Linked DNA regions of Danio rerio. The protein of the gene in region 5 purifies or fractionates together with the protein of the main gene of each other region. This does not show direct contact. Links are inferred from orthologs where the notes say so. Each region holds a gene or a part of one and is shown on either strand. Other genes may lie near its edges. The genes, in order: top1a, cdk4, dclre1a, pola1, pcna, xrcc1 and igf1ra.

Evidence for each region.
Region 1: the proteins of pcna (region 5) and top1a purify together in Homo sapiens (affinity purification with western blotting; 3 studies listed by BioGRID and IntAct, with this or other methods). This does not show direct contact. The link is inferred for Danio rerio from reciprocal best matches to the Homo sapiens genes PCNA and TOP1.
Region 2: the proteins of pcna (region 5) and cdk4 purify together in Homo sapiens (affinity purification with western blotting; 5 studies listed by BioGRID and IntAct, with this or other methods). This does not show direct contact. The link is inferred for Danio rerio from reciprocal best matches to the Homo sapiens genes PCNA and CDK4.
Region 3: the proteins of pcna (region 5) and dclre1a purify together in Homo sapiens (affinity purification with western blotting; 3 studies listed by BioGRID and IntAct, with this or other methods). This does not show direct contact. The link is inferred for Danio rerio from reciprocal best matches to the Homo sapiens genes PCNA and DCLRE1A.
Region 4: the proteins of pcna (region 5) and pola1 fractionate together in Homo sapiens (co-fractionation; 3 studies listed by BioGRID). This does not show direct contact. The link is inferred for Danio rerio from reciprocal best matches to the Homo sapiens genes PCNA and POLA1.
Region 6: the proteins of pcna (region 5) and xrcc1 purify together in Homo sapiens (affinity purification with western blotting; 3 studies listed by BioGRID, with this or other methods). This does not show direct contact. The link is inferred for Danio rerio from reciprocal best matches to the Homo sapiens genes PCNA and XRCC1.
Region 7: the proteins of pcna (region 5) and igf1ra purify together in Homo sapiens (affinity purification with western blotting; 3 studies listed by BioGRID, with this or other methods). This does not show direct contact. The link is inferred for Danio rerio from reciprocal best matches to the Homo sapiens genes PCNA and IGF1R.

Annotation. Positions count from the first base shown.
Region 1 is NC_133186.1:27,371,600-27,375,099, forward strand, and holds part of top1a (DNA topoisomerase I, like), read left to right. Parts: intron 1-1,329; coding exon 1,330-1,426; intron 1,427-1,665; coding exon 1,666-1,786; intron 1,787-1,946; coding exon 1,947-1,993; intron 1,994-2,811; coding exon 2,812-2,901; intron 2,902-3,110; coding exon 3,111-3,192; intron 3,193-3,276; coding exon 3,277-3,374; intron 3,375-3,500. UniProt on the Homo sapiens protein: Releases the supercoiling and torsional tension of DNA introduced during the DNA replication and transcription by transiently cleaving and rejoining one strand of the DNA duplex.
Region 2 is NC_133186.1:160,555-164,433, forward strand, and holds the end of cdk4 (cyclin-dependent kinase 4), read right to left. Parts: intron 3,229-3,879; coding exon 3,011-3,228; intron 2,739-3,010; coding exon 2,603-2,738; intron 1,768-2,602; coding exon 1,600-1,767; intron 1,427-1,599; coding exon 1,317-1,426; intron 1,166-1,316; coding exon 1,115-1,165; intron 1,033-1,114; coding exon 897-1,032; intron 708-896; coding exon 633-707; 3' UTR 501-632; downstream 1-500.
Region 3 is NC_133187.1:32,310,308-32,313,082, forward strand, and holds the end of dclre1a (DNA cross-link repair 1A protein), read left to right. Parts: intron 1-1,753; coding exon 1,754-1,965; 3' UTR 1,966-2,275; downstream 2,276-2,775. UniProt on the Homo sapiens protein: May be required for DNA interstrand cross-link repair. Also required for checkpoint mediated cell cycle arrest in early prophase in response to mitotic spindle poisons.
Region 4 is NC_133199.1:27,759,874-27,764,137, forward strand, and holds the start of pola1 (DNA polymerase alpha catalytic subunit), read left to right. Parts: upstream 1-1,464; 5' UTR 1,465-1,595; coding exon 1,596-1,644; intron 1,645-2,366; coding exon 2,367-2,491; intron 2,492-2,558; coding exon 2,559-2,655; intron 2,656-3,556; coding exon 3,557-3,631; intron 3,632-3,756; coding exon 3,757-3,872; intron 3,873-4,079; coding exon 4,080-4,142; intron 4,143-4,264. Other genes in the region: rrs1 (ribosome biogenesis regulatory protein homolog), read right to left, coding at 1-282. UniProt on the Homo sapiens protein: Catalytic subunit of the DNA polymerase alpha complex (also known as the alpha DNA polymerase-primase complex) which plays an essential role in the initiation of DNA synthesis.
Region 5 is NC_133185.1:46,058,752-46,062,700, reverse strand, and holds the start of pcna (proliferating cell nuclear antigen), read left to right. Parts: upstream 1-1,149; 5' UTR 1,150-1,411; coding exon 1,412-1,632; exon of another isoform or gene 1,633-1,685; coding exon of another isoform or gene 1,686-1,717; exon of another isoform or gene 1,718-1,907; intron 1,908-2,111; coding exon 2,112-2,209; intron 2,210-2,631; coding exon 2,632-2,699; intron 2,700-3,206; coding exon 3,207-3,401; intron 3,402-3,949. Other genes in the region: E3 ubiquitin-protein ligase TRIM69, read right to left, coding at 1,686-1,717. UniProt on the Homo sapiens protein: Auxiliary protein of DNA polymerase delta and epsilon, is involved in the control of eukaryotic DNA replication by increasing the polymerase's processibility during elongation of the leading strand.
Region 6 is NC_133191.1:58,607,718-58,611,217, forward strand, and holds part of xrcc1 (DNA repair protein XRCC1), read left to right. Parts: intron 1-176; coding exon 177-300; intron 301-1,382; coding exon 1,383-1,474; intron 1,475-3,291; coding exon 3,292-3,439; intron 3,440-3,500. UniProt on the Homo sapiens protein: Scaffold protein involved in DNA single-strand break repair by mediating the assembly of DNA break repair protein complexes. Negatively regulates ADP-ribosyltransferase activity of PARP1 during base-excision repair in order to prevent excessive PARP1 activity.
Region 7 is NC_133193.1:22,286,746-22,290,245, reverse strand, and holds part of igf1ra (insulin-like growth factor 1a receptor), read left to right. Parts: coding exon 1-19; intron 20-213; coding exon 214-356; intron 357-461; coding exon 462-627; intron 628-2,479; coding exon 2,480-2,582; intron 2,583-2,676; coding exon 2,677-2,747; intron 2,748-3,145; coding exon 3,146-3,375; intron 3,376-3,500. UniProt on the Homo sapiens protein: Receptor tyrosine kinase which mediates actions of insulin-like growth factor 1 (IGF1). Binds IGF1 with high affinity and IGF2 and insulin (INS) with a lower affinity. The activated IGF1R is involved in cell growth and survival control.

The DNA.
Region 1 (3,500 bases), on a different chromosome or scaffold from region 5:
AATAACACATCCCATCAGTCCTGTTCAAGGGCTGTTTTTACATTAGGTTTGCATGTACTTTGAAGTAATTTTAGGATGAAGGATTAATTTTGTGTTCATTTGTTTCATTTACCCAGCTTTTACCTTTTAATTATTTTTTTGTTAGACGGCTTATATCAGTTATATTGGCTCAAGCTTCATTACTTGTTCATTTTTTATTTTTATGCATTTCCAGCATGTAAGTTCTGCTGACAATGAACTTGTCCACTAGAGGGTACAGTTCACAAATAAGTTGTCCCACAGTCCCAGATGTGCATGTGTTTTGCTGAAGGGCAAAACGAACATGGTGAATGATTGGAGCAGAGTGAATTTTTATTGTTTTATAAATAAGGGGAGAAGGTTGCACCACAATTATTGATTACTGCACACCTGAATATGAGTTTAAGAATACACATCTAGATGGGTTGTGGGGTTTGGAAGTGCGCTCATGCGTACTGTGGAAGATAAAGGATTTGATTTCATGTCCTAACTGAGCACTCTGTCCCTCTTAATGCTTGAATGCATCTTACTGTAACTTGAGGTTCATTGTTTCTGTGCTCTTAAAGGATGACATTTGAGTTTGCTTGGATTCCAAACTCTCGTACAACTCTCATTCCTCCTTTTAGTTTTCGTAAAATAAAGGGAGATCATTTTGCTTTTGCCTTTTGGGAGGCCTGTTATAAAACACCTCCAGCTTTTTCACTGTCCGCTACAGTGTCAGTAGGATCTGCGTGGCCCTCTTGTAACCCAATCCAGCCCACCAACCTACACATTTCCTAAAGCAATAGTCCTCTCAGAGTAAACAGTCTTAGCTGGACCCTGTGCAGAAAGGGGCCCTTTATAAACACCATACATAGCTGAGAGTGAAAACTGGACATTTCACCTCAAGAGGTAAAGTGCCAAAATCTACAAGGTGTGACCAATGTGTCTGCAGTGGGTCGAGCAAGGACAACCCTAAATGTGTCATGCTGTACTTATTTCAAACCAGTTGTCTGTAAATGGTCTTCAGCGTTTGGCAGGCTCACACAGGTTTCTCTGAAATGCGTTTCTCATTCAGGTGTGTGCAAAATCTGCTGGTGTAGCTTTCTATAAGGGCTATTGCTTGTTTTTGATTAATTTATGCTCACCTAAAGCACTAAACTATTTCAGTGTACGGGTACATCTTTCTGAATCAAATCATTTGTATGCTGTCTAACTCCAGATTTACAACACTTTTGAATTCGTTTTTCCTGTTTCAGGGTCATACTTTTGTTACCAGGTGTTCATTCCTTTTTGAATGTGCTACTTAATTTTTAATTTCTTTGTTGGCAGATTCTCACAAACACAAAGATAAATACAAGGACAAAGAACACAAACACAAGGACCACAAGAAAGACAAAGAACGTGAGAAATCAAAGTACAGCAACAGGTATGACGTCTCCTACTTTGTCCTACAGCAGATATATAGGCAGTTTATAGCCCAGTTTGCTCTTTATGGAGTGTGTTTGATAAGCAGGGTGTGGCCTTTAGGGTTCAGACCACAGGAAGGAATGTTGGCTTTACTGCAACTTCCTTTGTAAACACTATCATCTATTTGGAGCCGATTTTGTTGATGGACCAAGCCATTGTGGCAATTAGATCACGGCATGTTTTATTGCATTTTGGCAGCGAACACAGGGACTCCTCGGAAAAAAAGCACAGAGATAAAGATAAAGAGAGGCAGAAGCTCAAAGATGGATCTTCAGACAAGCAGAAGGACAAACACAAAGAGAAGAGAAAGGAGGAAAGGGTGGGCAGAATCCTCGGTTACTTTCACATTGCAGCGGTTTTATCTGAGCTCAATCCTCTGGCTCTGGAGGAGTTGTAAATAGTCTTTTGTGATTCACACAATATTGAGTGCTGTTATTGACCTTTTTCTGTTTTTTTTGTTCTCCATTTCCTTCCTCAAGTCTTCTGATGACAGGCCTAAAAAAGAGAAACAGAATGGATTCGCAAGGTGAGCGTGAGCCCTTAATGTGACTGAAAATGATGCAACTGTAAGTTGAGTTTCACTATAATAAGAGACCCCTTAAATGGGTCATAACTTAAGTTAGGTAAACAGTCGACCCAAAACACAAGCCACTCAAATGTCAAAAGCAATGGTTGTCCTAACAGTGAGAATGACTCCTCTTCAAGTGCTTCCATGTCTTTGATTTTTTTTTTAATTGACATTTATAGCAGGGAAAAATGGATGATTTTAAAAACGTATTGTTTTGCTTTGTGTTCCGATGTCAGCCATGATGAAGCTATTTCAGTTGATGGATGTATGTTAACATAACCATTTCATTTTCGGTACATTGTGGTCCTTTAGCAATTTGTTGAAATTGTCAGGTTCATAACACATCCTCACAAAATATGAAAATCCCAGTGTATTTATGTTTGGCCAGTAGTTTAACATGTTGTAGAACAAATATTCTGCTACTGTTGTTATGATTCACATAATGAGCATGTCTTTTTGTATACTTTTCTAAATGCTTGTGGTTTAACACCACCCAAAATCTTGAAGTCATGTAAAAGAGCAACAGTGTTACAACAAAAAAATCTTTAAATGTTGCGGAAATCACCCTTATGCTGAAGGGTTTGGAGAATTACTGTATGTTTTCATTCTTAAGAGAAATCAAAGTGTTTCTTTATGATAAGATCCCTTTTAGGATCCACAGAATGGATGTAATCGCATAAATAGAAACATGAATTTATCTTGAGCCAATTTAAAAGGCTTCTCTTATTTGGTCATGTGAGTGAGAAAATGAATAATGGTTTTCATCCTTCACACAGCCCTCACATTAAATCTGAACCTGACAGCGATGACTTCTATCACTCTCCTAAACTAGAGAAGTCTCTGAAGAGAGAGCGGGATGATGACGAGTAAGTGACATTGTGTTTGCAGGACATCTTGAACTCACTTGTGACATTAAAACAAACTTGCAATCCTCTGTAGTCACGAAAGCTCCCTGTTCCTCTAATCTTTGTTTAAAATGGTAACCATTAGAGTGAATGAGACAGTGATTGTCTGGTATTTGAACGGTGTGTGTGTGGTTGCAAGGCATTTTGACATTTTGTTTTGTTTCATTCAGTGGTGATTACAAGCCCAAGAAAATTAAAACTGAGGATGACAGAAGTGAAAAGAAAGCAAAGAAACGGAAACAGGAGGAAGAGGTAAACTAATGAAGTTACTGGCTTATCTCTTTAGATTACACTTTCCAAGGTGTCAGTAATTTTGAATCTTTTGATTTGCCATAGGACATAAAGCCCAAAAAGAAAACAAAAGACAAGAAAGGAGAAGTTGCCACAGATGGCAAGAAAAAGGCAAAAAAGGAGCCAGAAGAGAAGTGGAAATGGTTAGTCTCACATCCTCTGATGGTCAAGTAATTGTAGGCTGACTCCTTGTCTTGAGTCTGTTTTGATTTTATTCGGGGATATGGTGCTGATCACAAATGTCCTTTTTCCGGCACTTTGCAGATCCA
Region 2 (3,879 bases), on a different chromosome or scaffold from region 5:
GATGGAGAACGAGCACTGAAGGGTCAGTTCACCCACAAATCGACATCTACTTAGGGTTATCTCTCCCTCACGGGGTCTTTAACCCATCTTCTGTTAAACATTAAGAAGATATTTAGAAAAATGTTGAACACCAGCAACCATTGACTTATATACTATTTGTTTCTCCTACTTTAGATGTCAATAATTACAACATTTTTCCAAATATCTTCTTTCATGTTGAACAGAAGAGAGAAGCTCCAACAGGTTTCAGACCCCCTGAGGGAGAGATAAGCGCCAGTAGATGTTGATTTGTGGGTGAACTGACCCTTTAAGCCAGCGGAGTCAAACTCAGTTCCTGGAGGGCCGCAGCCCTGCACAGTTCAGCTCCAGCCCTGCTCCAACACACTCACCTGGAGCTTTCAAACAAGCCAGAAGGACTCAATTAGTGTGATCAGCTGTGTTTAATTAGGGGAAAACTAAACTGAGCAGAGCTGCGGCCCTCCAGGAACTGACTTTGACACCCCTGATTTAAGCTCCTCTTCATCACAGAGCAGATGAACACACACACACACACACTCAGGGAATGTTTATCTTCAGTCTGCTGGCTTGTGTGTGTGTGTGTGTGTGTGTGTGTGTGTGTGTGTAGAGCAGCATCACTCGCTGAAGAAGGGATGATCCAGAGCGTTCAGCGCAGAGATCCTCTTCAGCGGGTCGAAGGTCAGCATTTTCTGTCAACACAAGAACACAGAGCTGTCAGCGCGTCTCTCACATCACTCATGCGTTTAGCATCTCCTGCTGAACACGAGCGGTCAGCAGATCCAGGTGACCGATGCAGCATCACTCTCTCCTACAGCGCCCTGCGTCTGAGCTGTGTGTGTTGTGCTCAGGGTTATCTGTCGGTGTGTGTGTAAACGTACCAGCAATAGCTCCGCCCCTTTCTCTGTGATGTCCGGAACGCAGTCTGTGATTGGCCGAGGGCTCTGAGGGCTGAAGTTGTGGTGGGAAAGAGTGACGTCTGTGGGCCACTGATCCTCCGCCGGCAGACCGATCACCCTGAGGGACACACTGATCCGTCAATAACACACCTCATCTCTCTGTGTGAATGTGTGTGTGTGTGTGTGTGTGTTTGACATACGCAAAGATCTTCCCCAGCTGGTCCGCCTCTGAATCTCCGCAGAACAGAGGCCTGAAGAGGAGAATCAGGACAGAATCATCAACTCAAGCTCACAAACCAGAGGACATACAGCAGCAGATCTGCAGCCGCTGACACACACGCGCACGCACGCACGCACGCACGCACGCACACACACACACACACACACTCTGCTGAGACTCACTTGCGTCTGAACATCTCGGCAAAGATGCAGCCGGTGCTCCAGATGTCCACTGGTGTGGCGTATGTGCTCTGCAGGAGCACCTCAGGAGAGCGATACCACAGCGTCACCACCTGACACACACACACACACACACACACACACACACACACACACACACATACACATCAGTATTTGTGTGTCAGCAGTGTGTTCACAGGACATTGTGTGTCTCTGTGTGTGTGTGTGTGTGTGTGTGTGTGTGTGTGTGTGTGTGTGTGTGTGTGTGTGTGTGTGAGTGTCTCACCACCGGGGTCAGTGCCATGTGGCAGCTGTAGATGCGCGCCAGCCCGAAGTCCGCCAGCTTCACCTGCCCTCTGCTGGTCACCAGGATGTTCTCCGGCTTCAGATCCCGATGGAGAACTCGATTAGTGTGCAGGAACGCCAGACCACACAGCAGCTGCTGCATCAGGTCCTACACACACACACACACACGCACACACACACACGCACACACACACACATTACAGGAACGCAAGACAACACAACAACTGCTGCATCAGGACCTGCAGAACACACACACACACTCTCTCTCTCTCCATGTTATTCAGCAGGTGTTATCAGGGAATAACACACTGTTGAAGTGTCAGAAATGACCAATCAGCCCTCCAGACAGCTGTCTAATAAATACAATTAAAGCATGCTGTAATGCTTTATAAAGGATTATGAAGGCCCTGTGATATTGAAATAATGTGAGCATCAGTGTGTTAGTCGTGCTGATATCTATAATATCCAGAAACAGAGACGACATTCACATTGAGCAGATAGAACGTCTGCAGTTTGTCTCGTCCGCCTAAATGGATCAAGCACATCACTTCATACAGCAGTTTCTCATCAAATATCCTGACCAATCACACGCTCTCTCCTGTCTGGCATGCCCCGCCCTCTTCTTCTCATTGGTTGTTCATCTGATGCGCTTGAGCTCAACCACGTTTATACAGATGATGCCATCATTCATCACCGATGGCCGATAGACAACACGATGCTGAGCCGGCATCGCCAATCCTCCACCCCGCCCCGCCCCCATCGCAAACCCGCTCGCAAACAACACATACTCACAAACCCGCTCGCAAACAACACACACTCAGGCCCCGCTTACACTGACACAGCTTACTTTATACATGGCATGCGCTCAGCTGAGAAGACCCCGCTCTGACCAATTAACCCACAATATAACTGAACTATTGGTCAAACAATAAATATTCATGTGTGTGTGTGTGTGTGTGTGTGTGTGTGTGTGTGTGTCTTACTCTGATTTTGTCCACAGGCAGTCCCGGTGCTGGAACTTTCTCCAGGTATGTCCTGAGATCCTGATCCACATGTTCAAACACCAGCGTCACTTTAGTCTCCTGATCCGTCCTGAGGGTCGCGCACACGTCCATCAGCCTGAAACACACACACACACACACACAGATTACACACTTACAAAATGCCTGATCATAGACACACACACCCCGTCATCACGCACAGAGGACGCGACACACAGATTACGAGATCTTTCAGCAAAACAAGAACCTCAAACAAACAGTTGCAGAACTACTACAGTTCTGAAGGAGATCAGTGTGTGTGTGTGTGTGTGTGTGTGTGTGTGTGTGTGTGCCCATGAGTAATTGTGTGTATCAGTGATTGTGTGTGTGTATGTAACTGTGTGTGTGTACCTGACGATGTTGGGATGGTCGAACTGCTCCAGGCGCTTCAGCAGAGCCACCTCTCGAACCGTGGACAGTGGGAGTCCGTCCTGATTGGTCTGCACCCGAACGCTCTTCAGCGCCACAAACTGCCCGCTGTCCCGATCCCGAGCCTTATAGACGGTCCCGTAAGCCCCGCCCCCGATCTCTGCTACTGGCTCATACTGCAGCCCCACCTCCTGCGCCATCTGCAAACACACACACATTACTGTGCCATCACCTGATGCACGCGCACACAAGTTCCTCTGCAGGCATCATTACCTGCACAAACATACACACGCTCACACACCTGTACACACACACACACACACCTGTACATGTGCACACACTGCTGTCAGTATGTGTGTGTGACTCTGCTGTAAGACAGAAACATCAGTTTTAGCTGTATTAAGACAAACCTGCACACACACACACACACACACACACCAGTTTCTCCACATTTACTCAACAGCTCAGTTGTGTGGCGCTGCTGGTTGTGTAAACAGGCCACAAACACACAAACCCAGAGCCTGAAAGCACATCACCATCACTAGAGCCAGAACAACCTCGAACACACTCTGTGTGTGTGTGTGTGTGTGTGTGTGTGTGTGTGTGTGTGTGTGTGTGTGTTAATACGCACACTTTGATTCTCCTCTTTCTTAATATAAGACTTCTCTGATGATCATTAGTGTGACATACAGACATGTAGGCTGTCATTGATCTAAATAAACTGTACACACACACACACACACACACACACACACACACAGTAAAGCAAGCAACACTGCATTTCTGCTGCCCAGCGCTGCACCATTACAACATTTCCCCACAAAAAACTTCCTAAAATGTCAAAAATTGAC
Region 3 (2,775 bases), on a different chromosome or scaffold from region 5:
ACATGAGCAGGCTCTGTTTGTTACTATTGTGTTACTTTTCCACTTTTTCCATTACATTAAAATGATTGCTTACAAAATGCAAGAACTGCACTGTTATATTGAAAATAATTAATTTTGTTTCCAAAAGTGCAAGTTATTTATTTTCACTTTTTTATGAGAAAAAAACAGACAATATGTGTTTTAATTTCAGTTGTTCAACGTTGATGTTCAGTAAATAATCATAGATAGTAGATAGTGTGTGTCTCCTTCAATTATTTTTAAAATCAAGTAATGCACCCTTCATTGAAAAGTCTCTCACTTGTAATAAGTGAGCATATTCACTGTACAAAACTTGTCTGTGAACTCTGAGGGCAAAAAAATAAATAAATGAATAAAATAATCGTTCATTAATCGTAATCGAGTTAAAATATTCAATTAATGGAGATTTAGATTTTAGGTGAAATCACCCAGTTCTACTTAGATGTTAACATGCAAGGCTTTTGGTAAAACCAGTTAAGAGTTCAAGCGTAGGGCTATATTTATATGTAATAATTTGAGAAAATTGGGTCACTTCACTTTGAAACTGAAATTGCAACTCGAAACAAACCCTAATCAAGGGAAGTGCATGTACATCAAATTGTGTTGTTTTGGTAATACTGTTTTTATGCATTCAAATGCTGTCCGTTTTATCTGGTATATTTAGGAGCCCTGGGCATAATGAGTGCATATTTTTGTCATTTCAAATCAAAAAGAAAACAAGACATTTTTTTGAAAAAACATATAAAAAACACCTCATCATTTTGCGCCTTTTTGGCATCTATTATGGCCGGTTTGATGTGGTTTTATAAGGTTGTCCATTTTGCGTAATGCTCAGCCTACAGCAATAAAACAAAAATGCAGAAAACACGTATTTTATTGATATCTGTCACGCCTTCCCTTCCTGAATAAGATCTTAAAGAGGATTGCTTTCCATTAAACTGATTTTGGGTGTAGAGACAACACAGCCTTGTCATTCTGTTCCACTAACTGACAAGATTATAGCTAATGGATTCGTATGAGGAATGTAATTACATTTTATTGATTTTTTTTTTCCTGCTGTTGTTAGAAATGCTGAATGTCATTTCAGGCTAAGAACATCATGTTCTTATATTAACAGAGTCAGCAGATGTGATTTGACCCAGTGAAAAACTCAAGATGTCAGGTTTTGCAAGCCCAGGGTTTTAATTTCAGAATATCAGCGGTCTGCAGCCGTACCAGGTGCTGCCTCAAGCAGTAGATGCGTCTCATTTCACAAACTCCACTGGAATCTGAGACGTCCAGCATGGGTTTTCGTGGGAATTTGTGCTTGTTAGGCCTTTACACAAATATACCATATAATTGCAAAATAATGGACTGCTTAAACAGCAGTTTCATAAATTATTAGTTTCGTCCTACAGTGTATGACATACCACAGTATATGCACTTACAGTATATACACTTATACACTGTGTGTAGTTTAGTGTTATTTTTTACTAAACAGAAATTCAAACTGCCTCCCAGGCGATGTTTAATCATGGCTAAATTAGTCAAATCAGAATCTGATAGATCAGTTGAAAAGTGCATTTATTTCAGTGTGAATGCACTATTTTGCATCATTATGTAGTATAAATAGTGTAAGCATGCTTATTGTTGGTCCGTATTTGATTGTGGCAGAGTAATTTTTGTATAAATAGCTTTTTCTGAGCATCTCCAAGAGTTTGAGAGCCATTGCCTACTCTATAATTATCTATTTCAGGTATTCCTTACAGCGAGCACAGCAGTTTTCTGGAGCTGAAACGATTTGTTCAGTGGCTACGGCCGAAAAAGATCATCCCCACGGTGAATGTGGGCAGCTGGAGGAGCAGGAAAGCCATGGAGGGCTTCTTCCATGAGTGGATGACTGAACCCAGAAACCTCAGCTCAACACCTTGCACCCTCAGAAGCTCAAGCTGTGGAACAAGGCAATAAGTAAACTGACAACAACAATGAAATCTACTGACCACAGTTAATGGTGCCTTTTATTGATTGGACTTGTTCTATTCAGTGGACCAAATGTTGGTTTTGGCATCTGCCTTATATTTGAAAACAAAATGACTTCTAATCTGCCTTTTAAGTGCAATGCTATAAAGGTTAAAGGTGTTGACTTTTACTATTGTGTTTTTCTTCTTGCCAGTATAGCTAATGCTGAAATGGACCACATACTGTATGCTCTCTTTTAGAGCATTTTTTTTTAAATCTGATGGTTTTATACGTGATTAATAACATAAATATAAATAAATCAATTAAACTTATTTCAAATGCTACTAATAACTCTGCTTTTCGTATATTGGAATGTTGCTGTTATTTTTTATGGTTTTGCATTTTTTATGTTTATTATACATCCAGATCAACATTTTTCCAGTAAAGTCTTTAAAATATAGTGTTTCAGGATTAGATTTAGATTTTTTTTTTCAATATCTGAATCTCAAAATGAAAAAAAAAAAATCAAACACATTTGGATAGTGTATCAACATGACAGATTTCAAAGCAATAGCAATTATACTGCTGGGGTTCTGTGGGTTGTAAGAAGTGTTATTCACCCTTCCACAATTTAAAACCATAGAAATGTGCTTAATCAGAGCAGAAGGCATAAATTCTTAGGGACTGATTGATGATTTAAATGTTGCTAGCACTGCAAAAAAATTATATATTTTTCTCTCTATTTTTTTATTCAATTTTATATTAGAAATTTTAGAGATTCGTTAGATTTCATTAGAGATCCAAAATGAAGAATTTAAG
Region 4 (4,264 bases), on a different chromosome or scaffold from region 5:
TTCTGGCAGCTTGGCGACGATCACTTCGTCGACTCTCTCTGTGGGTAGTTTCCATATCTCGTTGATGAGAAGTTGTGTGTTGTCTCGCGCTAAAGAGCGAAGACAGTCCTCCCGTTTGTTGCCTTTAAAGTCCCGTGTGTCAAGTCGGTTCTTGTCAAACGCCAGCAAAAGTCCCGGGTCGAATTCAAGATCCAACTCTTTGAGCACCGTAATACTTTTGAGCTTCTCAGCCTCGTCTCTTTCAGCTTTAGCGAGCACGTCTTCAATACTGCACGAAGCCATTTTGGTTCTACTGACAGACAACGTGGGTTCCCACATGTGCCGCTAAAAGCGGAAGTCTGGTATTTCAAAATAAAAGAACTAAAAACTAACTTAAAAAATAAAATAAACATTTCAAATGAGTTAAAGAAATATAACAATCTTTAAACATGTTTTAGCTAGTAAAACGTTTATCCTAAGTGTATATGTTTATGATACTAACTAACTTACTTCGGACGAAAGTTGTTCGGTCGAATGCAGGAGTAGCGATAAACCGACAGGACGTCCCATCGGCTCTGTGGCGCAATGGATAGCGCATTGGACTTCTAGATTGTTGAATGGGGTCATTCAAAGGTTGTGGGTTCGAGTCCCACCAGAGTCGACATTTTTGTGATCAGAATCAATAAAGTGGCCACATGCCAGAAGTTACCTGAAGTGCTCGAAGACATGATTCAAACGAACCTGACTCAGTGATTCAGTTTGTGGATGCGTGAATCTTATAGCCGAACCGAACCGGTGGGTTAAGCATACGGAGCAAATGGTTCGTTTTGATAAAATATTAAATTTATTTAGATATATATCGGTTCTGTGGATGTGTAACCTGGGACAAATGATTGGTTTCTAAATGCCAGTAAAACCTATAAGTGAAACCCATAGTTGTGGTAGAAATATTGATTTATTTATTTTGTTGCAGTTATACACACGCACGGTTGTATTTGTTTTATCATCGACCACTACAAATATCTAAAAATAATTAATTATCCTTAATAATACTTAAATTGTGTTTTTGGTATGATTTTAAAACTGATTTTTTGGATCTGTTTGGATTATATTATTACTGAACAAGTGATACTGAACTGATAATATGATTTCTGAACTGATGCCAATGTTATTCTTGAAAATTCTAACAGAAAAAATCTGGAAATTGCCTCTGCATACAGTATGCAAACAAAAACAAACTTGTTATTATTATTATTATTATAATTATTATTATTATTATTATTATTATTAGTAGTAGTAGTAGTAGTAGTAGTAGTAGTAGTAGTAGTAGTATTTGCATTACTGTTCAGTTACGCAAACAAAATGATCTTTAATTGTAAAATAACAAAAAACTCAAGTCTCCGATATAAAAAAATGAATGTGCTAAAAAATACACTGAATAAAGTCTGTCTACAACAGTTCGAATCAACTTGTTCAGATTGGTCGGCTGGTGAGAACGTCATATCCGCTGCTCGAGTTTCCCCGGGAAGACACTTTGGCGCGGAAATCTGTTGTTTTGGCTTCGCCCTTTGTAAGGAGAGAGAAATTCTACCTCGACTCAACCGCATTTTATATCAATGGCTCCTGTTTCAAATCCCGATAAAGACATGGACGGCGGAGATTGTGGTGAGCGTGTTTACAGGGATTAGTGTTGTTAGCTAACACAATATTCCAGCTTTCAGCTTAGCGGATGCATGTAGTGTACTGACAGCGCTAATGCAACATGAAATACAATACATTACATTGATTTATCTGAGCTAACTTAATCGTTAAAATATGCAAATACATTACCGTGTATCATCATTTTGTCGAGTAAACGTGATGTTTCGGTCCTTAAACATGAAGTTTGAAGCTGAACATGTCAGTATTAAGGCTGACAAATGTTTCTCAGTTCTCAGCTAGCGTTAACGTTACTCTTTCCTGGATAATACTTTAGTGCTTCTTTGGAAGACGTTTATGTAACATCCCAGCGGATGCCCAGCACTGGAAAAAGAAAATTAATAAATCATAAACAATAATAATGTAATATACAGTGACATAATAACACTACTACTACTTACTGCACTACTAACACTACTACTACAATATAATAATTATACAATTAAAAATATTCTTATTGCCACAGATGAAAATATCCTTTATAATGAAACAATATTGAAAAAATATGATATAATTATAAATATTCTAGTCACTTAAATGGTCTTTTTAACAAAGAAGTTAGCAAAATTTCACTGAATCACATTTGTGGATTTATATATATATATATATATATATATATATATATATATATATATATATATATATATATATTTTTTTTTTTTTTATGCCACATTTGTTTATGCCTTTAGATGCATCCGACACATGTGGCATTGCCGCCTCACGTTCCAGAAGGGAGAAAAAAGAGAAAGTCGGGCGCAAGTCTGCTTTAGAGCAACTTAAAAGAGCCAAGAAAGGAGAGAAAGTAAAATACGAGGTGAGATTCAGCTGTTTGTACATTTCATCTCTGCTGTTTCAGCGCTTTGACATTGTGTTGTGATCAGGTGGAGGAGTTCACCAGCATTTATGATGAAGTGGATGAAGAGCAGTACTCGAAAATAGTTCGGGAGAGACAGGATGATGATTGGATCATTGATGACGGTCAGTCATATTTTCATACTTCAATCTCCAATATGCAAATTTCAGTGTTTAATTGGTTGTCAGATTAATGTGCCTGTAAAATGCTGGGTTCTACACAATTCATGTCTTCATGTGTCCCAACACAAATCGTAGGGGTGTCAAAAGTAAATAAAACGCTCCTACTACTTATCCTACTTGATAATTATGAACAATTCAACTGCTTGTGAGTTTGTTGGAAAGTCTTTCATTGACACTAAAGAAGGCACAGCACACAAGCCACTATTTCACTACTTTTCACTACTCTCTTCTAAAGCCAATCGCCACCTTTTCTGTTGAGTGGGCGAAGACAACAACCAATCATATGGGTTTAAGACCTCGCTTGACAGTGCTCAAAAAGCAAGCGGGATAATATTTACATTTAGTTTATTTGCAATAAATGCTCATGCTGTTTTCTGTGCATGTGTTTGAGTTTTGTTTGATACATTCAAAAAGAGTGTTTTCCTTGAGCGGGTAAAATAATAGTTACTGTACATATATCTTACTGCTTGTTTTAAAGGACACATATGTATTACAAATAATCTAAATATAAATATATTTATAGATTTTAATGAAAAAAAAAATCTTGTGTTGTGAAGAAAAACTCTAATTCTGTATGGAAGGCATCGTCAATGCATTGTGATGCACAGAGATATCGAATTGAACCCTATCGATGGCATGATAAACATAACCAAACCATGAGACCAGTATAGATTCACACCCCTAACAAATCAAATTTAACATAATGGATTTTATAAATTTAAGATGATTTAACATTGAAAGTTGTCTTTAAAAAAACTCAAGAATTGAGTTGATTCAGCTCATTTTAAATAAGTAATTTAAACAAGCAGCAAAAATCATTTTTTAAGTGTGTGTCTTTTATCAGATGGGACAGGTTATGTGGAGGATGGCAGAGAAATCTTTGATGAAGAATTGGATGATGATGCATTGGGCCCTAAAAGTGAGTGTGGGAAAACCAGCACCTTTTATTTAAATTTTGTCAATTTGCAATATTAACCAGTGTGTTTGTGTTTTATTTAAAGTTGTCTTTACCAATTAATTATAACTTTATTTATATGTGAGCAGGTAAACAGGCTGCAAAAGGAGGTGATTCGAAAAAGAATGTGAAGAAATCATCTGTCAGTAAACCCAACAGCATTAAAAGCATGTTTATGAACAGTAATGTAAAGAAACCTGCGGAGGTAAGAGCTTTTTTAATTCACAAGATGCTTCTGTTTGTAACTGGCCATTATATTAACTTTTTTTTGGTGTGATTTTATAAAATTAAAGATTGGTTAAACCAAAAAGGAAACTTGTCAATGTTTGTAATAAAAACCCAAGTAAGGCAAGTAAGGTAATGCTTGACTAGTGTGTAAACAGAATTTTGTTTACCCATGTTTGCATTGTAGAAACATGTGGATTTGTCTCAAGATGATCTGCTGGGAGATATTTTGCAGGACTTGCACTCTGAGGTGAATCATTGTGACATTTTGTAATAAATGGATGTCTTTCTGCTTTTAATACAAGCATGCTACAGGTGCTTTCAATGTTGTTATTCATAACTTATTTTACACCTCATATTCATTTGAATGTT
Region 5 (3,949 bases):
TATATATATATATATATATATATATATATATATATATATATATATATATATGCTCAAGTATCCCCAACTGTATCCCTTCTTTTGTTTGTGTAACACATATATGTATGTATGTATGTATGTATATATATATATATATATATATATATATATATATATATATATATACATACATAAATGTGTTACACAAACAAAAGAAGGGATACAGTTGTGGGATACTTGATCATGCGCACATCAACATAGCATGATTTTTGTGACACAACAGTATTTTACGTTACTGTGATGGGTCGATTTAGGATTTGGGTAAGGTAGACGTTATTAAAAAGCATTATAATGGGTATTCATAAATATTATAAGTAGTTATTGTTAACTGAAGACCGCAGCTATATCCTTTAGCAACAAAACATGTGTTACACAAAAAGTTGCGGATACTTGGGCATGCGCACATCAACATCAATCGTTGGTACACTGCACAACAATAATTAATATTTTACGTTACTGTGACTTGTCGATTTAGGGTTTGGTTAGGGGTATACGTTATTAAAACGCACTGTAATGGGTATTTATAATTTTTATAAATAATTCTCGTTAACTGCTGACCGTAGCTGTATCCCTTCTAGCAACAGCACAGTAATTTGTCACAGAAACAAAAAAGGGATACAGGTGCGTATACTTGGGCATGCGCACATCAACATAGTCTGATCTTTGGTAAACTGCACAACAATAATTAATAATTTACGTTACTGTGACTGGTCAATTTAGGGTTTGGTTAGGGGGTATACGTTATTAAAACGCACTGTAATGGGTATTTATAAATTTTATAAATAATTCTCGTTAACTGCCGACCGTAGCTGTATCCCTTCTAGCAACAGCACAGTAATTTGTCAAAGAAACAAAAAAAGGGATACAGTTGTGGATACTTGGGCATGCGCACGTTGACATAGCATCATTTTTCACACTGTACGACAATATATAATATTTTACACCACAGTGACGGGTCAGTTTAGGGTTTGGGTGGGGGTAAAGGTTATTAAAACGCACTGTAATGGGTATTCATAAATGTTGTGAATAACTCATACCTTCTGACCAAATTGCGCCCTCTTTTGGTCAGTGTCCGCAGTTCTGTCTGCGTTCCAGGAGGAGTCAAACGTCAGCGGAAATGACGAAGGCAACAGTGGGTCAGTTTAACAAAATCCCGGCGAAAGCGCGCGCAGTTACATTCAGAGCCTCGCCAGAACAGTGGACAGCACATCTGCACCGTGCCTCCTCTGCATTAGTACCTGCTAAACTCTAGGATAGTTTAGGATTCTGCTTTCCTGTGCTGGAAAACAAGCAGTTAACCAGGCCGCAGCTTGTGTCGTAACAGGATTAGATAACTTTAGTTCCTCCTACTCTAAACTAAGAAAGCAGCACAATGTTTGAGGCACGTCTGGTTCAGGGATCTATCCTTAAGAAGGTCCTGGAGGCTCTGAAAGACCTGATCACCGAGGCTTGCTGGGATGTGAGCTCGTCGGGCATTTCTCTGCAGAGTATGGACTCCTCTCATGTGTCTCTGGTGCAGCTGACGCTCCGGAGTGACGGGTTCGACTCCTACCGCTGCGACAGAAACCTAGCCATGGGGGTCAATCTGAGCAGGTAAAATCACTGACTAAATCAAGCGCCTTTTGTGTTATTTGACTCGTATTTACTTGGTGAGTGAAGTTTGAACATGTCTGCGCATGCCCGGGGCTGCGCCTCTACACAGCAGCGCGCCATTTTTAGACTATAAAGTGACAAAAGTATTTTATTTACAGTAGTTGTTATTAAAGTATGCCGTTTTACGGTTGTGTTTTAAATAGGCTATCAGTTTAATTTGGCGCGCAGTTTCCTGCATTCGTCCCACGCTCTACTGATCGTGACGTCACTTGCGCGCGCTTAAGCTTGTTGGCGGGAAAGAAAATGCCGGGTTGCTGAATGACAACATGGCTCTGGTGTTAGACAAAGAAAACCTGCTTAGACACTTTTTGTGTATGCCATGACTGTTTCGAATGTAAATGGTAAACCATTTTACGATCAATATGGTGTTTTTCTACCTGAAGTGAACGTGTTTTGATTATTATTCATCTGTTTCCTAGCATGTCGAAGATTCTGAAGTGTGCTGGAAATGAAGACATCATCACACTCAGAGCTGAAGACAATGCTGACGCCTTGGCACTGGTCTTTGAAACGCTCAGTAAGTTAACTTCTTTTTAAACTAGGAATAGCAATACTTTTGATAGTGTACAATTAAAAAAAACTTTTTTTTATTATGAATTTATTTTATGTTGCTAAATTTATATTTGCAGTATTTTAATATCGATTTATCAGCAATACCTGTTAAAAACATGGGCTTTGGTTTAAAATGAATCATTAAAGTTAAGCTAAATAATTAATACTTAATATTTAAAAATAATTTTCTAATAATAATTTTCTCCAAAAATGTAAGAATGAAATTCGCATAGATACTGGAGCCATTTTGTGGTTAATAACATCACATAAAAAAAATGCTTCTAGTATGGATTTTCTTCACCATGTTATCAACTATTACTATGAAACCAAAAGTTAAGTTTTGCTGGAGAGCTAATAATCCATACTAATATTTACATCTCATTTCAGATCAAGAGAAAGTGTCCGACTATGAGATGAAACTGATGGATCTGGATGTGGAGCAGCTTGGCATTCCAGTAAGACTTTATTATAACAGGGTGTCTGCAGGGTCATTAAAAGTTGATAAATCAATTTGGTATTAAACAGCCTTAACTGTTGTTTTACAAGATATAATTGTTTTGGTCATTTTATGATTATATAATGTGTAGTTGTGTGCTAAAGTTTGCCTAAATTTAATCTGTGTGGTTTATGAAATTGATAAAATCCTGCTAGATTTGGCATCACACTGCTTTGTCTACTGCAGTAATAAAGGCAAGCCTATGTTTCCTGCTGTTCTATAGGTGCCATCTGTTGGGATTAGCATTTTTATTCAGTACATGACCGATTTAGTTTAGGATTCGTTTCTTACAATCAGTATTTAGTAAATATACTACAAGTTGAATTGTCACCAATGTTAAGTTAAAACCTAAAATGGCGATGAGGTCTTAAAGTTTATTGAGTTTCCCTCTCTTGATTCCTGTTTATTTCTGATATGATCGTGGATGTTTGTCTGCAATGATCATGCTTTATTCTCTTCCCCTCAGGAGCAGGAATACAGTTGTGTGGTGAAGATGCCGTCGGGTGAGTTTGCCCGCATCTGCAGGGATCTGTCACAGATTGGTGATGCTGTCATGATCTCGTGTGCCAAGGATGGCGTGAAGTTCTCTGCCAGCGGAGAGCTGGGCACAGGCAACATCAAGCTCTCACAGACCAGCAACGTCGACAAGGAGGATGAAGCGGTAACATACTATTCATTTAAGGCTGCACGATACTGGGAAAAATATGCAATATATATTCTATAATCAAACATTTCTCTGAAAAAGTCAATTTAATTAGCTGTTTTAAAAAAATTATTTCATGATTTTGCAATAAACAAGTAAAATATATTTTCCAGATCTAATTCAGACTTAAAACTGTCAAGATGCAAACCTTTAGTCTTTAAAGCACTATTAGTGAGAATCATTTTTTAGCTCTGATTTCACCTTTAAGCCAATCCAGCCAATAGCAGAACAGCAACTACTTAGGAGGCGGGGCTAAAGGTAGTAAAGGCCCCATCTGATTGATCAGATTTATATAATAAGCAGCTTTATTTTCATTTAGCACCTTTAAAAGTAGCATCTCGGGGCACTTTACAGACATAATGTGCAGCTGTTAAAGATGCATACAGGATGAATGCAAAAAAAATGCAATGAATATAATCAAACGCTTACAATAATAATAAATCTAAAAAGCTACCCTAAAAGAGTAGGTTATAAGTGATTTAATAATTATCTGGGATTTTATCAGA
Region 6 (3,500 bases), on a different chromosome or scaffold from region 5:
CTTCGCCTTTTCCTCCCCCGCTTTTCACTTTGCGTGCGTGCAACACCCCCCCCACCCCCCGTTCTTCACTTTGAAAGCACCCTTAATGTTTACAGGCGTTTAATCTTACAATTTATAACATACTCCAAATGAATGGGTGACATTAAACATCTGTCTGCTCTCTCCCTCCCTCACAGAAGCTGACCAAGCTGGGTCAATTCCGAGTTAAAGACGAGTCTCCTTCTGCTGGGTCAAACGTGCAGCCTGGAGCTCTGTTCTTCAGCAGGGACACTTCAGCTAAATCCAGCACTGGACTGAAGGGTAAAGCACCGTAGTACTGTACACTTATCGTAGTAGGGAGGTATCCATTATTAATATCAATTCTAATATTAATGTTGCACAGGTATATTTATGTGCAAAAAAAGCATAATATGTGCATAATCTCAAACGGGTGCTCAGGCCCCCAGGAGAAGAGAGTACAATACATCAAAAATAAAGGCAGCAACACCAAAGCTTCAAAATTATTAGACCATCATTGCTCCTCTCGCGATCTGTTCTCTGTCTCCTTCACTCTCGTCGCCATGATTTCCGTGTTCTTTTAATTCATTTTGGGGGATCACGGAGCCGGTATGAATTTGCAGAAGACATGCAGAGCTTCCAGGAGAGGTCATAACTAGATAGTGGAGATGGCTCCGTTCGCATCACAGCATGGGATGTGTACGATGTATCTGAAGAGTAGGAGTGGATGGGGGATGTATTTGAGGACAGGGTGGGATTTCTGGGAGATTATCATTCGTTTGTGGGCATCCGGGAGATATATTTATTTATTTATTTATTTAAAAAATTTTTTAAAATCATTTTGTGGCTAAAAGGTATCAGTTCAGGCACCGTTTTGGCACCGGTACCGTTTTAAAAGTATCGATTTTAGCACCGGTATCGAAAAAAAACCCAAACGATACCCAACCCTAGTGAACACTGCTGAAATACTGCAAACTGATGAGGGAAAACCCAAACATTGACAGAGTGTGATGAAGGTGAGTTTGTTTCTTCATGCTAAACACAGTTGAGGTTTAACATTACATTTTTTACATTATTTATTTTAGAAGTTTAGTGAAGGCGGGGCATTTCTGACCCAAAGGGTGAACATTTTATACAGAATTATAGACAACAAGAGGGTTTAGTAAAAATCTGGTCAAAATCAAAAAGTTGCAGTTGTCTTTTAATTGTTTTTAATTCTGTGCCTGAAAACAGCATGGTTTGTTAACTGTAGTTTTTCAGTAAGGCATTAAAACATGAATCATAATTACCTTTATATGGCATTACACAAAAAAGGTTCAAGTTTTCAAATGAGTTGAAATGCTGCAGTAAATAATATAATGGTCTTACATGATTGTTTTCTGCAGTTTCTCCTCCGAATGAGAGGTTGAGTTACGCCGCTGCTGCGCTGAAGACTGAGGGTTCGTCCACACACACACCTGCCAGCGACACACAGCAGGTACTGCATTTGTATTGTACAGGGTCTCAGCGGGGTCTTAAGTCTTTAAAAATCGAAATTTTAGGCCTTAAAGTCTTAAATTTGCTGTTGTAGGTCTTAAATATTTCTGCACAGGTCTTATTTTTCCAATGTCCATGTAAGGCTACATCTAATGCTCATTTAAACTCTTTTGTTGTTGTTGCTTGGTGTTGTAGTTCTTTATTTCACTAGTCCAAATGTAATATGCGGTATTACAACTACAAATGAGACCAACATGCAACAGCCAATCAGCTTACTGTTATTGAACTCAATGTGACGTCATCGCAGAGTATGCAGAGGTTCGCTTTGGGTGAATAATTTTGAGACTCGATTGTTTGCGCAGCGCCGCGTTTCATTTGAGTTGAATATGAAAGACTTTGAAGAGATTTTGTCTGAAACGGGTACGACTGTACAGACACCTTTATGATCCGTCCACGCGTGATTATAGGGAGAACCAGATGATCAATAATTCTTAGCTAGAAAAAAGTTTGGAAAAACCTGAGGGATGAGTTTGTTAAAGCCAAAATAGGTCATGGCAAAAGTGACCCAGATACACGATTACAGAATATGCTTCTCCACCATTCATAGGTTTTACACTGATATATATATTACAGTTTTGAATTTAAAACAGTTTAATAGTTGCAAAACTATAAATAAGGAACAAATTATTTCTTTGATATTTGGAAAGAAAGATTTGAACCTGTCAGTTTACATTATACTGAGGGCCTGTTTTTCTAGGCTTTATTGTTGATGATGGTCAGGAATGTTGGACCATTATTGCCTTTTTAGCTTATAAGCAGAGGACAGAAACTAGCCAGACAGTAATGTGTGAACTGTTGGGCTAAATAAAATTGAAGTTTTTAGTAAGTGTATTTTTCTTTGCTTTTGTTCTTTCCATAATAAAAAATTTTATAGTAACATTTTACTCCCTTATTAAATTAGAGCCACTCTTTGCTGTGCATAAATCATCTCTCAGCTCACAGACGCTCCTGTGCTGAAGCGGCAGATATTCTGTGTTCGTCTGCGTGGATTATTGACCTTTTACAGCATTACATCTTCTATAATTGAAGCTAAAGAAACTGAATCTCAGCACAATCAGAGATGAAGACGCTGGACCTGATGTAAGATTGAGGATATTCAGGCATTCCTCTGATCAGACGTGAAATTATTAAACCTTTATTATTTCAAGAACAATTTTTATTTTCAAACATTGTAATACAGGTTAAGACAACACTTTTATTTTAACTAAATAATTCATTCATTCATTTTCCTTCGGCTTAGTCCTTTTATTCATCAGGGGTCGCCACAGCGGAATGAACTGCCAACTATACCAGCATATGTTTTACACAGCAGATGCGCTTCTAGCTGCAAGCCAGTACTGAGAAACACCCATACACACTCATTCACACACACACACACACACACACACACACGGCCAATTTAGTTGATCAATTCCCCTATAGCACATGTGTTTGGACTGTGGGGGAAATGGGAGCACCTGGAGGAAACCCACACCAACACGGGGAGAACATGCAAACGCCAAATGTGACCCAGCCGGGACTCGAACCAGCGACCTTCTTGCTGTGAGGCCACAGTGCTAACCACTGAGCCAAAATGCTGCCCAAACTAAATCTCTTATTGAACGTGGCTTTTAATGCTTGATTGCATCTGCACTATTGTCGTGTATACTTTTATATTATTCCTCTTGTTGTTTTATTGTTCTTGTTTTATTGTACGGTGTCCTTGAGTTGCCAGTAAGGTGCCTTTTAAATAAAAGGTATTATTACTATTTCTCACAGGCTCCCGTGAAGCGAAAGTTTGAGTTCAGTAAAGAGCGTCTGGAAGCTTCCGGTCCACCAGCCAAGAAGCCCAGTTCATCTGCATCTGCCGAAACCACACCGAAAGCCAAAGCAAGATCCAGCATGGGCACCAGTCCCAGCAGCAGAGGTACAAATGAAGTGCTATCAAATACTTTAACATTATTAAATTCGTTATTTTATACAGTTGA
Region 7 (3,500 bases), on a different chromosome or scaffold from region 5:
TCCAGAACCAAACCGGCAGGTCAGCAAAAACCAACAAACCAAATCACTGCATATTCAGGCCAGTGAAATATTAATATCCACTGTGCCTACAGCATGATTTTTGGATTAGTTTTCCTGTTCATGTTAGCGGCAATTAAGCCTGAATGCAATCTAAACCTTATTGAATTACTATAAGAAAGCACTGGCCTTGAGCATACTTATGTTCTTCTACAGATAAAGCGGATGATATTCCCGGCTCTGTGACTCAGGAGAGGGATGAGAAGGGAGAAGGAATAGTGCTTCTGCGGTGGCCTGAACCTCTTCACCCCAACGGACTGATCCTCATGTATGAGATCAAATATCGTCTGGGAACTGAGGTTAGTGTGACAACTAACTCGTACACCATTAAGAAATAGTTATAACCAAAGCCAAAGCCACAAACCAACTGACTGAGGATGTATGTCTGCGTGTGTGTGTTTCAGGCTGAGAAGCATGAATGTGTATCACGACAGCAGTACAAAGTTCTGCGAGGAGCTCAGCTTAGCAATTTGGCCTCTGGAAATTATTCAGCTCGAGTCAGAGCCACTTCTCTGGCTGGAAACGGGTCTTGGACTGAACCAGTGTCCTTCTACGTGCCACCCCCTAAACGTAAGAAATGCACCCATAGGCCTACTTGTAGGATAAGTGTTTGTCAAGAAAATAATAACGATAGTTGTAGGGCTGCACAATGTATCGTTTCAGCATCAATATTGTAATGTGCACATTCGCAATAGTCACATCGCATGATATGCATTGTTCATTCTGAATTATTAGAAATATAAGCTACGGAATCGTAGTTAATTACTGTATTTATACAGGATTTATGCAAAAACGGAAACAAAAATGTTTTTCTTACTTACAATTACAATTACAAAAGTCTTGTTTCTAGTGTAAATATTTACATCCCAAATCAAAAAAAACTTTTTTTTTTACCCCACTGGCAGATAAGTTTACTTGTTTTAAAAAAAAAAAACTCTTAATTTTGACTTGTTTCTTCTGAAATTGAAAATAATAATAAATAATAATAAATAATACAATACAATACAATAATACAATAATATTTAACTTTTTAAAAGATTTTTTTGTGATTTGGACTAGAAACAAGACTAAGCACCGTAAGAAATGCATTTTTTTTTTTTGCTTTGTAGATTATACAGTTAATGTACCTGAGTACTGTTAAACTCCACAGAAATAGTGTTCAAATGGTGCTATTCAAACTATCTTGTGAAACTGTATTCATATCGCAATATTTATCGCAGAAAAATAAAGTATCCCAATATCAGCTTTTTCTAATATCGTGCAGCCTCCGATAGCCTAGTGGTCAAAATTTGTATTTTCTATTGGATTCAAGTCAGGTGATTGGCTGGGCCATTCTACAGCTTGATTTTCTTTCTCTAAGACTATTTGGGAGTTTCCTTGGCTATGCTTTGGATCATTGTCTTGCTGAAATGTCCACCCTGGTTTCATCTTTATCATCCTGATAATGCAGTTGTTGGACTGAATCAGCTAATATTAATTTACAATGACGAAAGGTCATCAGTAATTTACAATGACAGAGGGTGGCTGAATAACTACTGAGAGATTTCAGCTGCTGTCTGGTCTTTCACTGCCTTTCTTCAGCTCCTTTTCTTCATGTGTTTAATGCTTTTTATTTATATATTTTTTAACTTGTCGGCGCAAAAGCCTATTGGTTAGTGCGCTGGCATATGGTGCAGTAGCACGTCAGGGCGTCCTGAGTTTGAATCCTGGTTCGTGGACATTTCCCTACCCCCCCTCTCTCTCTCCAACTTTGCTTCCTGTCTCAATACTGTTCCATCTAATAAAGGCAAAAAGGCCAAAAAAATTACACATAACTTAATTTGTAAACTAATAAGACTTTTTTCTTTTGTATATATGGATGTCTTTGGTAGTTTCTAACATCCAAATTTCAAGTCAGTGGCACTTTTAGAAGAAAATGGTGATGTTATCAATACTTATTTTCCCCGCTATATTTAAAATTATATTATATATATATATATATATATATATATATATATATATATATATATATATATATATATATATATATATATATATATAATTATTATTATTTTATTTTTTTAACTCTTTGTTAAGAACAAGGGCTGGCAAAAGATTTTACGTTTACACAATAAAAGTTTTTATACATCATATAGTTACCATTATAAAATATAGTAGTCTAAAAGATTAGTTTAAATGAACAGTTGGCTTTCTGGTTTCACTCAGAAGCAAAAATCTACCCACAAATTTCAAAGAAAGAGATATTTGACATTTATTGTGATAATAATCAATATTGACTGATATGGGGAAAATGTAAAGTTGTTTTGACCATATCGTCTAGCCCTAAGAAAATGCTTACTGATGACTCTCTTTAAAGGAATGCTTGTGATGCAAGGCATTCAGTCTAATGTTTTGTTTATCTTTCTGTCCTTCTCTCTTACAGGGAATTATGATAATGCCTTCTACGTGGCCATCATTATCCCTGTTATAGTACTACTTTTGCTACTCTTCGTGATCGTAGCTGTCATCATTGTGACCAAAAAGAGGTTGATGTCCCAGCTATTAAATACGAGACTTCTTTTTTTACTTCCACTGTCTAGTACTGTTTTTTATTGTGTTTTTATGCATGCTTCTTTTCAGGAATAGTGACAGGATAGGAAATGGTGTGCTGTATGCTTCTGTGAACCCCGAGTACTTCAGTCCATTTGAAAGTGAGTATTAGGTTTATAAACCAGGTTGTGTTGCATTTCAAATAACTTTCTTAACTAAGAGTATTTTAGCTGTTTTTAATCCAAACTAATACAAAGACAGTGCCTGATTTCCTGTTTTAAACATAATTATAACTTCATTTATAACTGTAAATGATCAATAATAATTATTAAAAACTAATACCTTGTTGTTTATATTGACTTTGATGCTTTTACTGACAGACAAAACTTATACATATGATCATTAGGAAAATGATTAAGTAATCCCTATTGCTGGAATTATATAGCTATAAAGATTTATCTAATATTCTTCAGTCATTAAATCGTCATGATTGGCAGAATATGTTATAGGATCTTCTATATATATTACAATTTTGCCGATTCTGTTTCTGCCACCTCAGTGTATGTGCCAGATGAATGGGAAGTGGCTCGAGAGAAGATCACCATGTGCCGTGAGCTGGGCCAGGGCTCTTTTGGTATGGTGTATGAGGGCATTGCAAAGGGTGTCGTTAAAGATGAACCTGAGACCAGAGTGGCTATCAAGACTGTAAACGAATCCGCCAGCGTACGTGAACGCATCGAGTTCCTGAACGAAGCTTCAGTTATGAAGGAGTTCAACTGTCACCATGTGGTAAGAAACGGCGGAATCTCACCATACAGTTGATTTTGAAATGTTAAATAGGTTTATTTAGTTATAGGTATACGATTCTGACGATATGATAACCTTGGATAAAATTATCACAGTTTTCACGATAT